2 linked regions of the Lytechinus pictus genome follow. The protein of the gene in region 2 interacts with the protein of the main gene of each other region in a biochemical or structural test. Links are inferred from orthologs where the notes say so. Each region holds a gene or a part of one and is shown on either strand. Other genes may lie near its edges.

Region 1 (7,374 bases), on a different chromosome or scaffold from region 2:
ATATAAATACATACAAAAATCTCTGCACTTGTTTTAGAAATTCACTTGCAAATCCATGACTCAAGAACATACCATGTCAAAAATATCCATATGTGCACAATAGATTTTAGCCTTCTATTTTCTTTCATTTAATTTTTTCAGTATATTTCTGTGACAGCCCCTGCTTTATCCTACATCTCCCATTGTCAAAAAATGAATATTATGTTTCAGTAGCAAAATTGTTGGATGCAAACTCTGACTGTCATTTTAAAAAATGCAAATAATTTTCCATTGGAGTAAAGACAAACTTATTCACTGTACATTGAGCAAATGATGACCTTTATTTCTCTACATATAATTATATTATAGTCATTTCCCTTTCAGATTGTGGTAACTGCAGGAATGGGAAAACTCAGTGATAAAACTAAAATTTTCACAGAGGATTTTTGGAAAATAACTAAATCCATTTTTGTCAAGCAACAGTTATTCCATTCTGAATGCTGCAACCTTGTTAATATGAAGTTGATGCACCTTTACCAAAATATAATATCATGACAGTCATTTCTTCAATTCTTTAAACTAGACATTAACTATTGCTAATAGTATTATTCAGGACAGAGTGTAGCCAAAATGGAGTTTAAAAGATTATGAAAAAAATGAATGTCATGTTATATTTCGGTGAAGGTGTAAGCATTCAAAATGGAATAATTGTTGCTAGATAAATAATTAAAATAGCAGAGAAAAATGTACTTAGAGAGGGAGACAAAGAGGGGGAGAGGGGAAACAAATCAAGAAGGTATGGTAAAGATCAAAAGTACAAAGAGTGATGTAAGAATGTCAGAGTAAGAACTGAAATGAACAAAGACTGCGCAAAAGAAGATAAATAAAACATTGATTAATTGGGCACCGAAAACAATCTTTTATCAAAGCAGAATGTTTTAGGCTTTAAATTAATATGCTGAAGTGTAAAGGATTTTTCTCCCCCCCTTTTTTTTTGGGGGGGGGGGGTTAAGTTCCTAGTAATAATTTCCTTTTACTCTTTATGTGGCAATTTTCTAAAGCCCCCCCTCCCCCCAAAAAAAAAAAAAATGGAAAGGGGTGTTTTTTTTAAGAGTGTTTAAGTTCCTAATGGTCATGGCCTTTAACCTTCTATATTTTTATGTTGTCAGTTTTTAAGGACCTCCTCTGCCCCCCCCCCAAAAAAAGAACCTATAAATATTATTGAAGGTGATTAATACCCTGCGCTATTATATGACGTTAAAGGGGAATCCAACCCAAATAAACACTTGTTTTTAGAGGAAAAGGAAAAATCAGACAAGTTTATAGGTCAAAGTTTGAACAATATCGGACAAACCATAAGAAAGTTGTGAATATATAAAAGTTGTAAACATTGGTAATCACTATACCCATGAAGACTTCAAATTGGCCGCATATGTGATGTCATCGTGATGTAAGGCAAGGACCACTCTTCCATGTACAGGAATAATTAATTGGCTAAAATGTCTTTTTCAAAAGTTTTATATTATTTTATATTATATCTTTCTTTCATGAGGACATAAAACAATATACTACCAGGTTCATATTACGGCCCCAATGGAATAGGGATTTAGGAGAAACCAAAAATCCTGATAATTAAGTACAAGCCCTATGGGAAAGTTGTCCTTGCGGCCTCGCCCCTTGTCATAATTTACTTACCCAGTTGCCAATTTGAAATCTACATACTAGTAGTCTTTATAGGGATCTTAATTTTAAAGCAGCCATAAATTTTGCTTGTCCGATTTCTTTCAAACTTTCACCATTCTTATTTTTCTCCTTTTCCACACAACATGTTATGACCAAGGCTGGATTCCCTCCCCTTTAACACTGAATATGAATCTTTACCCAAAATGAATATTTGTGTCAAATTTTATGAGCACAGGCTGAAAACTGAGAAGTAGATTGATCCACGATGAATTTTCCTGCATTTCTAGCTATCATATGTGGTTACCCTGGCAATGCACTCTCTGACAAATGCAAAAAAAAAGTTCTTGCACATCTTTACCTCAAGGCCAATGTGTGAGCCGTATTTCATGATAATTGTTTCAAAACTGATGAAGTAGTTCAAATTGCAAGGTGTTTACCTAAATCTTGCCATATAATATGTTGTTACCATGGCAACACAATTTCTGAAACACACAAAAAGTGCCTTGTACATCTTTACTTTAATACCAATGTGTGTGCTGAATTGCATGTGAATTGATTGAAAACTGATGAAGCAGTTTGAATTGTAAGTTTTTTCCCAATTTTCACCATATAATATGTTGTTACCATGGCAACGAGATTTCTAAAAGACACACAAAAATCTGTCTTAGACATCTTCACCTCAAGACCAATGTGTGTGCCGAATTTCATGAGAATCGGATGAAAACAGAGGAAGTAGTTCTAACTGCAAGATTTTTACCTTATTTTGGCCATAATACACTGTTACCATGGCAACACCATTTCCAACACATGCAAAAAATGTGTTTTGCACATCTTTACCCCAAGACCAAAATATGTACATACATACCAACATCCAACCCCCTCCACCGCCACCCTTCGGCTTGTTTAGCATCTGCATTCAGATCTTTGGTGCATTGAGATGTGAGGACAAACAGAACATCTGTTCAAAAAGGGTCTGAATTTAAGAACTAAACCAATGCAAAATAATGCACTGCTATTGAGTTTTGCACTAGCGCTAGTCTATATATCAGACCAATCTAAACTCATAAATTCTGACCTTTTTCACCCATTTTTTCTCTGTTCCTGCAGCCAGATTTTTTGGAGCATACCCCATTTTTAATTCTTATACAAAATCAAAGGTCTGGAGAAAAAATCATGCTTTTGTCCACCGTGTCCACAAGTAGGGTGTTTTTGACGCTAACAGACCGGACTATAGGTCTAACGAGTAACGTTAAGTGAATGGGTGCGCAGACAAGGCCAAGGTGTGAGGCACCATTGATTGATCTGAACTGTCTGGCCGGTCAACATTCATGTACCGGTATTTATCCTGAATTTCTGAAAGAATAAAACTTTTATAAAAAGAACGACTCATTTTAATTCAAGCAACTGTAACAAGTTTTATGGCAAAGACGAGCATCTTACCAATCAAAGGATGTTTACAAATACAAAATGTTGACTCTCTCTCCCCCTCGTTTCAGTAGTTCCTCGGTATCGACGCTGTGGCTATACTATCGCGCTATAGCGCGCACTAGCGCCTAGCTAGCTAGCTAGCTAGCGCAGCAGCGCAGCCTGCATGCGCTGCTCGCTCGCGCTCGATCGCGATCGCGCTCCCTAGTCGATCGTGCAAAACATCAAATTTTCCCGCTCGTATATATACAGCGCCCTCCCCGTAAATCCGGATAAGGGGATCAGCGAGCCGTTTGAGCGTTTCACGAAAGGACTTGTCGGACATTATCAGTAGGCCCTATAAAAGTCCCATTTTATCCGGCACTTTATCCGACAGTTACCTTTTTTTCTTCTTTTATCCTCAAATCGAGGTACCGTACGCTGCCCAATCGTCGCTCAGTTTACGTATTTTCCTTTATGTTTCATTCAATTAGCTATGATACCCTTACTTCTATGTCACCTGAAAGAGAAAATACTGGAAAATCGTTTCATAGGATAATAATTATATGTCTTCAAAGCACCGCTGTGTAATTCGCCGTTTTCGGCACCCCTTGCGCCTGTCCCATTCGCCGCTCACCACTGCCCTAACTCCGCTCACTTAGCGCGCGCATTCATACATGTAGTTTATAAGGCCTGATACTTATCTTTTTTTTTCTACCCTTTTTCTTGCACTTCTGATTGAGAAAGTGTGTAATTTTGTTGTGATTAAATGTATTGTTTACAAGTTTTATAGTACTATACACTGTATAAAATGTTCCTTTCGCCAAGTGCAATTATTTTTAGGGCCTCAAACTTTTTGTTACTGATCATCGCCTATAGGCCTATCATTTTTTTTAATCCTCTAAACTTTATTCCGTATTTTTTCATAAAATACATATTTTCAAAGTAATCATTTTCGCCACTCATCCAACTTGAGTGCCCCCCCCCCCTTGTCGTCCCTTCCGCTCATTGCCCCCTGATGCCATTGACCATTGATTTCCATTATTATTTTTTTTTTACTATTATAAATAATTATTTGCATCCTCCTTCAGGTTCTAATTCAAATTTGCTGCTTTGACACTGTCTTGACTCATCATTTACAAGTATGTATTCGTGTATCCCACTTTTTTGTTTACTTTTTCGTTTACTCTTTATTTATTCCCCTACTTTTTCTTGTCGTATTGATATTTTATGGGACTCTCACTGCATATTTTTTGGAGCCTTCAACCAACAAGCTTTGCTTTTACTTTTAGCTCCATCATATCCACATCTCTCATTTTCTTTCTTTGTCATTATTTTAGAACCAATTACAAGAATACATTCTAGTACTTTTTTCTATTGTTATTATTATGTATACATTTCATATGTTTACGATGTTTATTTATGCTTATCTATGAAAACATGTATTGTATAATATTATTGTTTGTATTGAATTGTTGATTTTTTGAAAATGTGAAATGTTGATGTGCATAAACCTTAAACCCTGAACTCCGATAATATTTTTTGGGGGGATTCCCTTATATTGACTTTCATAAAAAAAAGCTCATCTTGAAAAACAACAATAATATTTAATCACCTCGCTGGTTTAAGTTCATATTCTAACTCCCGTCAATAATAGGAGAGGGAAAAAGGCACTCAAGAAAATTCTATTTGTTCAAAATAAATTGGTCAATTTAAATCCTGTTCCGTTTTCAAACAAAACATAATAAAAAAAAGGAAATCTCCAGAAACATGACAAAGTTTCATCTATTCAAATCAATCAGGAAACTACTGACCGAGCTCAAAAGGCCTATATATAGGCCCATTAGTGGGATTTTTTAAAATTTATTCATTTAAATTCTTTATTTTATTTAGATTTATAGATATGAATCAGATAGGCATGCAGATAATGGGCCTAACATAAAATATATGTATCATTAGGCTCATAAGTTATCACATAGGCCTAATTACACATCTATTTGAGGTGACGTGTATAAAATCCTTGTTTCATTCCAATTGAATTATCCCTAAATTTCATACTCAGAGTAAATAATATTGGTAATCATCAAAATATGAATAGGCCACATTAAAAAAAACCAGCATTACGATCGATAATAGCCTAGAAGACATGCCAGGGGCCGCGGAACCGGGGGAGGGGCTTCACCCCAGAACAAACAAAAAAACTATCCCTATATAGTTGTTTGTACGTCGGTATTGATAAACATCGAAGTCTCATTTTTTTAGCATTGATGACCCTACGATTCGTTATAGAGCAAGATAATTTTTGTAAAACTTTTTCCCAAACACTTTGGGCCGGGACAATGATTACAATTAAATCTCGAAATATTTCTGGTGAACAGTGACAAACTCTTTTGATCATCTTTCAACATTTCTGTGAACGTCAGCTTATCTGCCTGCTCCATGATAAATCGTTGACGACCGAGGGGCTTTTATTTGCCGTCACCCTCAGCTAAAGGGAGAGCGGGAGAGAGAGGGGGAGATAGAGATGAAATCGAAGGAGAAGTGAGAGAGGAAAATGTAAAAGAGTATAAAGAAGAAAAAATGGCCGCGTCGCAAAATAGACAACAACGGATGAGGTATCAATCAAGGCCGGAATAGGAAAATAATAAAATGAAAAAAAAAAGATTATCAGGAAGGAAAATAAAAGGAAGAAGACAAGACGAAAATGAGAGTTGGGGGACCGACAAATACCTGTACCCTTCATTTAGAACAGAATAACTATTCAGCCTGCGCTTCGCGTCCGCATTGCCCGTTTGTTTCATTATTCATGTCTTGTTTTCAAGTCATTCTCGGTTTGTAAGATAAAATATCATTACAAAAGTGCTTAAAATGTTTCGTTTTTTCTCTGAATCAGGGGCGGAAATCTCTCCCAAAAAGTAGGGGGGGCAAGGGGCTGGAAAATTTGACAAGCAAAAAAAATTTGTTCATGAATTCATATGACACTCGATCTCTTTTAAGACTTACTTTATTATTCATGTATTACAGTTATAATCTGCTCTATAGCTAACATATTGAGCATAATATTATAGGCTGATCAATCGAGCTGATTTATCTTATAGAAAGTTGTATTGTCAAGCAAATATTACCACTATTCTTATTGAAGCGATGTTTCTTATGAGGTAGGCCTATACTGAATTATGACCTGAAATAAATTCAGACATTTCTACATTGTTTACACTTAATTTTCATCTCATATTAAATTAACGAGTTGAATTAGTAGAGTAATCAGGCGTTACCATGGCAACATACCATTACCATGCATTCAAATGAACTTATATCCATGCAGAACACTCTGTTGTTTTCGAAATTTAATTTAAATGAGTTGGTCGAACCTATGTAGATTTTTGGCATTTTCATTGTCATTTTCCACCATTCATCTTTTCCCACCATAATGTTGATTTTTGATGGCAATTCAATAAATGCCCCCAACGTACATGGCCAAAGTTCATTGACTTTAAATTACCTTTGACCGTGGCATGACCTGAAACTCACTATAGGATTTTCACTGACTCCCTTATTTCTAAGTTTCATGAAAGCTATAGAAACCTATAGGCCTATTTCAAACTTATGATTACATTTCACAAACTTATCCTGTTTTAAGATTTCAATGTTTACGACGCCGCGCAGTCGGAAAAAGCGGCGCCCTGTCTCTGCAGGCAATCAAGACAATTGTATTTTTCTGCGGGAAAGATAAGCCGTTACCATGGCAATGGATCTTTCGCAAAAAGCTTTGATGACTTGATAGGCCTATATCTAGAAATTGAATTTGGAAGGCTTAAGAATGATAGATTGGACCATTTAAATTGACAGGGTAATATGCCATATATATAGGCTCAATATGTTATTTTTAAAAACATATTAATCAGTTGCCATGGCAACGGCGGAAGGAGGCATTTATGAAACTGGCAACAAGCGAATTCATGTTCAGCACCATCAAAATAGAGGAAATGACACAAAAAATCAGATTCTAATGAAAAGTCTACTTGAAAAATTATGACAATTCCGTTTAGGCCCTATACTCTTACAATGATTATCATACTACAATCAGGGTGAGCGGAGTTAGGGCAGGCTGCTATCTCAAGGTATGCCCTCGCTAATTCATTCACACAACAAATATTCATTCTTGAAAAAATTGTCACGACGACATATCAGGACCTCCCGCACCTGCGACTCTCACATTTTCATTCATCATATAAGAATAAAAAAAATTTCACTGTTTTTAGGAGTTTTTAAAGTGATTGAAAAAAACCGTAATTTGGTGCAGTTGCG
Region 2 (7,799 bases):
TGTACAAGTTTGGTGAACCTCTCATGCAGCTCTACCAGATGGAAGAAAAAAAATCAAAATTGGTCAACAAATAAAGAAGAGGCATTTTCTGTGATTTATGAATAAATTTCGCATAAATAATTTTCTACTGAAAATTTCAAAATTCTGTGAAGAAGTTTGGTCAATGACAACCTCATGAAGTTCTACCAGATGGAAAAATAAAATAAAAATCGGTCTACAATTAAAAAAGAAGAAGCATTTTAGGTGAATTTTTAAAAATACGCATAAATTAGCATAAAAATTGTTCTACTCAAAATTTCAAAATTCTGTGTAGAAGTTTGGTGAACCTCATCAAGCTCTACCAGATGGAAGCAAAAAATTCAAAATCTGTCAACAAATAAAGAAGGAGAAGCATTTTTTTGTGAATTTATAAAAGTGTGCATAAATAAGCATATTTATTGAGTTTCAAATTCTGTGTAGAAGTTTTGAATCCCCCCACCTAGTGCTATCATATAAAGCAAACAGAATTGAAATCGGACTTGAAATAGCGAAGAAGCATTTTGATTGTGGACGGACGGCAGACGACAGACACCACGCCACAGCAAGGGCCAGATGAGCTAAAAAGTAGAAAAAGCTGGGAAATGATGGAAAATATTAATAGTAATACATGTAATTCAATTTGTATGGGATGATCTTAGATGATCAGCTATTCACTATCATCATTACAGATTGCATGAACAATTGACTTGAAGTCCATAGAAGTGGACTTAAAATTTCTTGTATTTAGTCATTCTAATTCAGGTATAGCTTAGTTATTTAAGTAAGTGGTTGATCTCTTTTAATAGATTTCTGTGATATTGCATACTTGGAAATTGAATTGAGTGGCAAGGGGGCTGAAGTAATCGGATGCGACACTTCAATAATCAGGTATGAGATGCATGAGACATTCAAATACTCACCTGTTTTAATTGCCTGAGCCTCATTTAACTTCCAACTCTCTGCAACATCATTTGCTAATGGGTCATCAGGGTTAGGGGCACTCAAAAGGGCTTGAATTGACAACAACACTGTTCGGATTTGAAGAGCAGGGCTCCATTTGTCTGCAAACATCAAAGAAGGATTATCCTGCCATTTAATGTACATTTTTTTACACTGAATACTTTCAAACCTTGAGACTATTAAATATCATATACCGAAATACACCACCAAGACAATTGCCTCAATGATCATTCATTTCTAAACAAAATGTCTTCACCAGATTACTGGATAGGCAGGAGTGACTCGATTGACTTTTGATATATGGTGGTGATTTTTTTTACCTGATAAAGAAAGCATGAATGCTGACAATTTGCTTAAATAAAAGACAATGATACTCCCTCAAGAATAATGAGAGCACACTCTAACTGTGTAGATGAGTTTAGAGCTTTAGAAAATATGTGAGTTGAAAAAAAGAGAGTTTAATGTCAATGAATTGAGAATAATTAAGTGATCCAGGACATATCTCCCCTCACAATGGAATGTATATTGTATAGTCATCAATTAACAAATCTATTCATAATTTAAACTACAAGTGGAATGCCTCTGGCAGTCTCATCTGCATTACGTGATTCGATATAGCAGCAGTGCTGACTTTGAAAACAGATATTTAATAATTTTTTATTCACAAAAGAACTAACTCATAGTCATGTGATAATAAAATACTATGTCCACAGTCCAGTATGTCCATTGACCAAAAATGACATTTGACCATGATCATGTGACCTAAGATGTGTGCAAAACAATCATTCATACTTGATTGCCCTTATGTCTGTTTTATGAACTACATGTGGAGATCCATAACCTTTCGAAGTTATGATGCCAATTCAACAAATACCCTGAACATGGCCAAAGTTCATTGACCTTAAATGACCTTTGATCTTGGTCATGTGACCTGAAATGTGCACAGAATTTTTAGGGATACATGGCTACTCTTATGACCAAGTTTCATGAAATATATATAACTTTTAGAGTTAAGATGACAAATTCACAAATACCCCCAACATCATAAAATTTCATTGACCCTAAATGACCTTTGACCTTGGTCATGTGACCTGAAACTCTGGCATGATCTTCAGTGATACACTATTACCCTTATATCTCAGTTTCATGAACTAGGTCCACATACTTTCTTATGATGACTTTTCAAAAACTTAACCTTGGTTAAGATTTCAATGTTGACGCCGCCGCTGCCGGAAAAGCGGCGTCTATAGTCTCGCTCTGAAATGCAGGCGAGACAAAAATGATGTGATCCCTTGTTTTTACAATATTTCAGTTTGACACATTCTGCAGCTCTAGATAAGGATCAATCGCTGGCACTGATATTCATAAGAGGGTAAATAATCTCCCCATGACATTTTTCATCTACGATATGAACTTTTACCAACAACAGAACACTGGTGGCAGCATCTTAAATTACACCACGATACACCTCTATTTTGCAGTAATCTGTCAAGAAAGGCAGTCTTAAGAGTGTACACAAATCTTCCACAGTAACCTCTAAAAGACCAAATGCTGATGGTAGCCTCACCAAAGGTTCAGTTTTAAAGATACACCTTTGGACTAATTCCAAAGAAATCACTTTAAAATGGGGCAGTTAGAGTGCATACAATAATGATGTAGCCACATAAATACAAAGTATACTATGAAATTTTGCCAGGGGAAGGGGAGACAAAAAAAATGAACAAAAAAGCATGCAGATTTATTAGTAAAATAGTTGTACTTACCTTTGAGTATATCAAGGCAGATACGTCCCAATTTATCCACATTAGGATGATAAATTTTTGTCATAAACCGTACTTTTGGTGCTGCCATTGGATATTCTTCAGGAAGAAAAAGTTCTAGTTTAAAAGTCCCATTTTCAAAAGGAGACTGATGAGAGAGGGAGAAATAAATAAGATAATCATTAGTAAAAATTAATTCGGAATTATCATACAGGCAGATGACAAGGCATTCTAAATGAAAGGCAAATATAGACCAAGTTATTATTTGACAATTTGGTCATAGATGTAATAGGATGAGACCTAATGGCTTTACCATATTAGAGAAAGTGAGAAAATACATGAAGTAGCATTCCACTCCTTGGCAATACTTACATCTTTGGGTCCATCTATTGTCACCATGAATAGTCTGCAATTTGCTTCATCTGGGGTTGCTTTTATTCCTGGTACAGGCTCAGTATTGAGACGCTGTGTCTCCTATTTTTGGTAGTTGTAGAAAGGTAGAGATAAACAAACAGTAAACAAATTAATAATTCCAATAGATTTAGTTGTAAATGAATATTTACAACATTGCAACGATAATAATGAGAAGTTGAAACTTGAATGTCGTCCTAAATGAGAACTAAATAGAACATTTTGTCAGACGAAAATATTGATGAAATGCTTCCCTGATTGCCACTTGGGTTAGGGTCAAGCTTAAAATATAAGGTTCACTGATTTGGCCCTCGACGGTGACCGAGTACTTATTTAAAACACTATCCATGCAGGGGAAATTGTCAATTTAAAGCCTGGCCAAAGCTTTGGTAAATGGTCATACGTAAGTATCATAAAACCAAATACAGAAAATTGCCGTAGAATGTTTATATATAGAGGTTCACGCCTATATAATGACTTACCTTTAGATATGAAATTTATCAAAAACTTAACTACATTTATTACTTCTTTGAGCTCTAAGGTTTCGAAGTACATTGATATCTGAGCAACGCATTGTTTTGCCGGGAAGGGGGGGGGGGGGTATTTGCTTGTAGCTTGAAATCGTAACTTTATATTTAGTTTTATGTCTACTGACTAGCTTTCATTACTTTATATTTTGTTTAATGTCGTTCTTTTCTATTGTTAATGATGTTTATAATACAATCTGATCTATTTTATTATGTTCTGGACCCCTAGGCAGAACAGAGTGGTAAAAATTACCACTCTGAATGGGCAATCCAGCCATTCATATGTATTCATTTTATTTTGTAATTATATCTGATGTATTTTGTTTGTATTTTGCATGTTTTTATGAATGGAAAATAAATACAATACAATACAATCATCTATCCTAGCATTCCAATGTTACAGAGGTGTTGCAGCCGTTGAATCTTTTCGCAACTGCAGATTCTCTGTCAAATTCAAACACACTGTATTCAAATCTAAGATATCTAGTGCTTTATCTCAGCAATATGTTTCTATTTCTTCAAAAGGGGTTCTTTGAGCACTAAATACTGTGAGTTACATTCATCTTACACAATCTAAATTAATATCAGATACAGACAGAGATTTTATCCAGCAAATTTCACCCCATTCCGTGCTTTGGAATGGGTGTTATAAAAAAGAAAAAAAAATCACAAAACTGAGTGGGTTTTTTTTCTTATGATAGAAATATTTTCATGTAAAATCACAAATTTGTAATGTAAAGCATATTTTTCAATTCATATCTTCCACAACATAACTGTTTAGGCCTAGGGCATACAACTAACTTAGAAAGATTACTGATTATACCTCACTTGCCATATATTTTTATCCATTTACATTATTATGTAAAGAAGTGTTTATATTATGGTCCATGATTTGAGAAAGTGGATAGTATTCACTTCCTATTTATACCAAAATTACAGCAACATTTGAATGATTCAACTTTACCAAAAATCTGCAATTCCTGTAAATGAGACAATAAAGCTAAACACAGGCATTTGGTACAAAATGTGATTGCACAAAAATCATTTTCCAAATTTTCATTTTGAAAAAATCCACTCCAAAAGCTTATGACTCAATTTTTAATAAATTTTAGAAGATTTATAACCATGAATTTATTGTTTATTTTCATGAAATAGGAGGATACTCAAAGTTAGAATTGTTAAAGTGTCAGTGAATAAGTGTTTGAAAGTAATTGATCGCAATCAGTACTAATTGGTCATGTAATCAGTTTTTGTTTAAGGAAAAGTCTACCCCCAAAAAAATTAATTTGAATAAAAAGAAAAAAATCCAACAAGCATAACACTAAAAATTTCATAAAAATTGGATGTTAAATAAGAAAGTTATGATATTTTAAAGTTTTGCTTAATTTCAGAAAACAGTTATATGCACATCCTGATCAGAATGCAAATGAGGAGACTGATGACATCATCCACTCACTATTTCTTTTGTATTTTATATGAAATATTCTAATTTTCTCCTCATTGTCAAGTGAAGCAACGATTAATTCCTCCCTGAGCATGTGGAATTAGCATTGTTTAATACCATATAGTTTAGTCAAGTTGGTCCTTATTGTCAAACCTTTAAAAAATGAAATATTGTATAATTCAAACAATAAAAAACAGTGAGTGAGGGACATCATCGACTGTCTCATTTGCATGCCACTGAAATGTGCATATCACTGTCTTGTGAAAAATAAGCGAAACTTTAACATGTCAACTTTCTTATTTTACATCAGATTTTGATGAAATTTTCAGCGTTATGCTAGTTTGATTTTCTCTATTTATTCCAATCAACATTTTTCTGGGGTGGACTTGACCTTTAATAAAAGAAAATATACAACAAGTGGAATGCCTCTGGCCGTCTCACCTGCATCACGCGATTCAATATAGCAGCAGTGCTGATTTTGAAAACTACTATAACTCGCACAAGATGTTCAGTGATACTTGGTTACTCTTATTTCCACGTTTTATGAACTAGACCAATACACTTATAGAGATATGATGGCAATTCAACAAATACCCCCAACGTGGCCAAAGTTCTTTGACCTTACATGACCTTTGACCTTGATCATGTGACCTGAAACTCGCACAGGATGTTCAGTGATACTTGATTACTATTATGTCCAAGTTTTATGAACTAGACCAACACACTTTCAAATTTATGGCTGTAATTCAACAAATACCCCAATTTGGCCAAAGTTCATTGACCCTAAATGACCTTTGACCTTGATCATGTGACCTGAAACTTGCACAGGATGTTCAGTAATACTTGATTACTATTATGTCCAAGTTTCATGAATCAGATCCATAAACTTTCAAAGTTATGATGGTAATTCAACAGATACCCCCAATTCGGCCAAAGTTCATTGACCCTAAATGACCTTTGACCTTGGTCATGTGATGTGAAACTCATGCAGGATGTTCAGTGATACTTGATTAACCTTATGTATAAGTTTCATGAACTAGGTCCATATATTTTCTAAGTTATGCTGTCATTTCAAAACTGAACCTTCAATTATAAATTATTAAGATTTGGTGTTGACGTCGCCGCCGTCGGAAAAGCGGCGCCTATATAGGTGAGACAAAAACTGAATAATGAATTTTCATTCAAAAATTTTACAATTTTTTTTTAATGAAACCCTTGTTACAATAAGTGCTTGATTGCTTGGTTCCTGCTACCTTGTTTTTTTTATTCATTTAGATTTTGAAAATATTTGCCCAACCTCAGCCCAAACCAGTTAAAAAATGGTTTTAATTATATGGCTGTGCAACTAATTTCCATGATAAAAGTCAAGATGGTGGTCTAACCAATGGCAATAAATTTTTCCTTGTTCCTGGTGGTACAGAAAGTCACTCAACTAGTATTGCAATTCGCTAACAGAAATCCAATTTCGATCATCGTTTATTATCAAAACATTTCAGACCTATTTCAGGCTCCATGCAGTTTGAAAAAAAAAAGACAAAAATAAGTGGGTTTTTTTGGGATCGGAATATGGCGGCACGCTGAGGAGTCTCGCACGGTGGACGTCTGTTTATATTCAGCCTTAGTTTATTCATTTTACACTTTCACAGACCTTTGTCATTAGATATATTCTGTTAAACATCATGAGTCACCTAAAACACCAAAGCCCAAGGGATCCAGGTGAGTCACCTGTAAAGAAAAGACCTTCTTTGAGTAGTGAGAATCGCTTAGAGATTTTGGGAGATTTGCACGATGCCAACAACGAGAGTGCTGCCGCTAGCTCTGGCGCTGCTGTGGAGAATACTCCCCCTCCTTGGTTCGCAGAATTCGAAAAGCGGCAGCAGGCATGGCTCGAATGTATTGTTGATTTGTTTAGACAAGAACAGGCAGCCTTGAAGTTCAAGATGGATACACTGAAGGAGGAGGTTGCTGAAGTTAATAAGCTTGCCTTGGCAGAATCCAAGATTGATGACTTAGAGAACAGAAGTAGGCGCAACAACTTGGTCATCTACAATGTTCCTGAAGGGCAAGAGGGATCTGATTGCAGCAAGTTTGTATCCAATTTTCTGAAGTCATCCAATTTCTCAGCTACTATTCAGAGAACTCACAGAACTGGACCACAGAATGATGACAAGTCTTCAACATCCATGGTAAAAAATCAACGTCCAAGACCAATTTATGTTGGCTTCTCATCTTCCGTGGAAAAGGAAAAGAGTAAAAAGGCTCTAGTGGAATGCTTCAAGAAAGAGAAGGAAAATAAATTATTCGTGTGTGATGATTTCTCTCGGAGAGTTCAGCTGCTAAGGAAAAAAAGTTAAAGGAAAGAGTTAAAACTACTATGGGAACAAGGAAAGAATGCCTTTTTTGTGTTTCCAGCGAAGATTGTGGTCCAAGAATCAAAGCCTAAAAAATGAACATTGTTAGCTTCATAAACTTTGTCAAGTCAATTAGTTTTGAACTCTAAAAAATCACACTTCCATTCAGGGACGCTTCATACATGTTTTAGGTGCTCAAGTGTTATGTTTGTTTTTGTTTTTTTTACTTGAAAATTTTTCCTTCAAAATATGTTCTATAAGCCCTACTGGGTCTTGATCTAATTTTCTTTTTGGATGTCAAAATTTTCTTAATTGCAACTTTTTCTGA

Evidence for each region. The genes of interacting proteins can lie anywhere in the genome.
Region 1: the proteins of ubiquitin-conjugating enzyme E2 N (region 2) and helicase-like transcription factor form a complex in vitro, tested with the Homo sapiens proteins (2 studies listed by BioGRID, with this or other methods). The link is inferred for Lytechinus pictus from reciprocal best matches to the Homo sapiens genes UBE2N and HLTF.

What each region holds. Positions count from the first base shown.
Region 1 is NC_087260.1:4,433,431-4,440,804, reverse strand, and holds the start of helicase-like transcription factor, read right to left. Parts: upstream 3,336-7,374; 5' UTR 3,103-3,335; intron 1-3,102. UniProt on the Homo sapiens protein: Has both helicase and E3 ubiquitin ligase activities. Possesses intrinsic ATP-dependent nucleosome-remodeling activity; This activity may be required for transcriptional activation or repression of specific target promoters.
Region 2 is NC_087247.1:55,175,092-55,182,890, forward strand, and holds the start of ubiquitin-conjugating enzyme E2 N, read right to left. Parts: upstream 3,215-7,799; 5' UTR 3,138-3,214; coding exon 3,111-3,137; intron 2,887-3,110; coding exon 2,742-2,886; intron 1,080-2,741; coding exon 939-1,079; intron 1-938. UniProt on the Homo sapiens protein: The UBE2V1-UBE2N and UBE2V2-UBE2N heterodimers catalyze the synthesis of non-canonical 'Lys-63'-linked polyubiquitin chains. This type of polyubiquitination does not lead to protein degradation by the proteasome.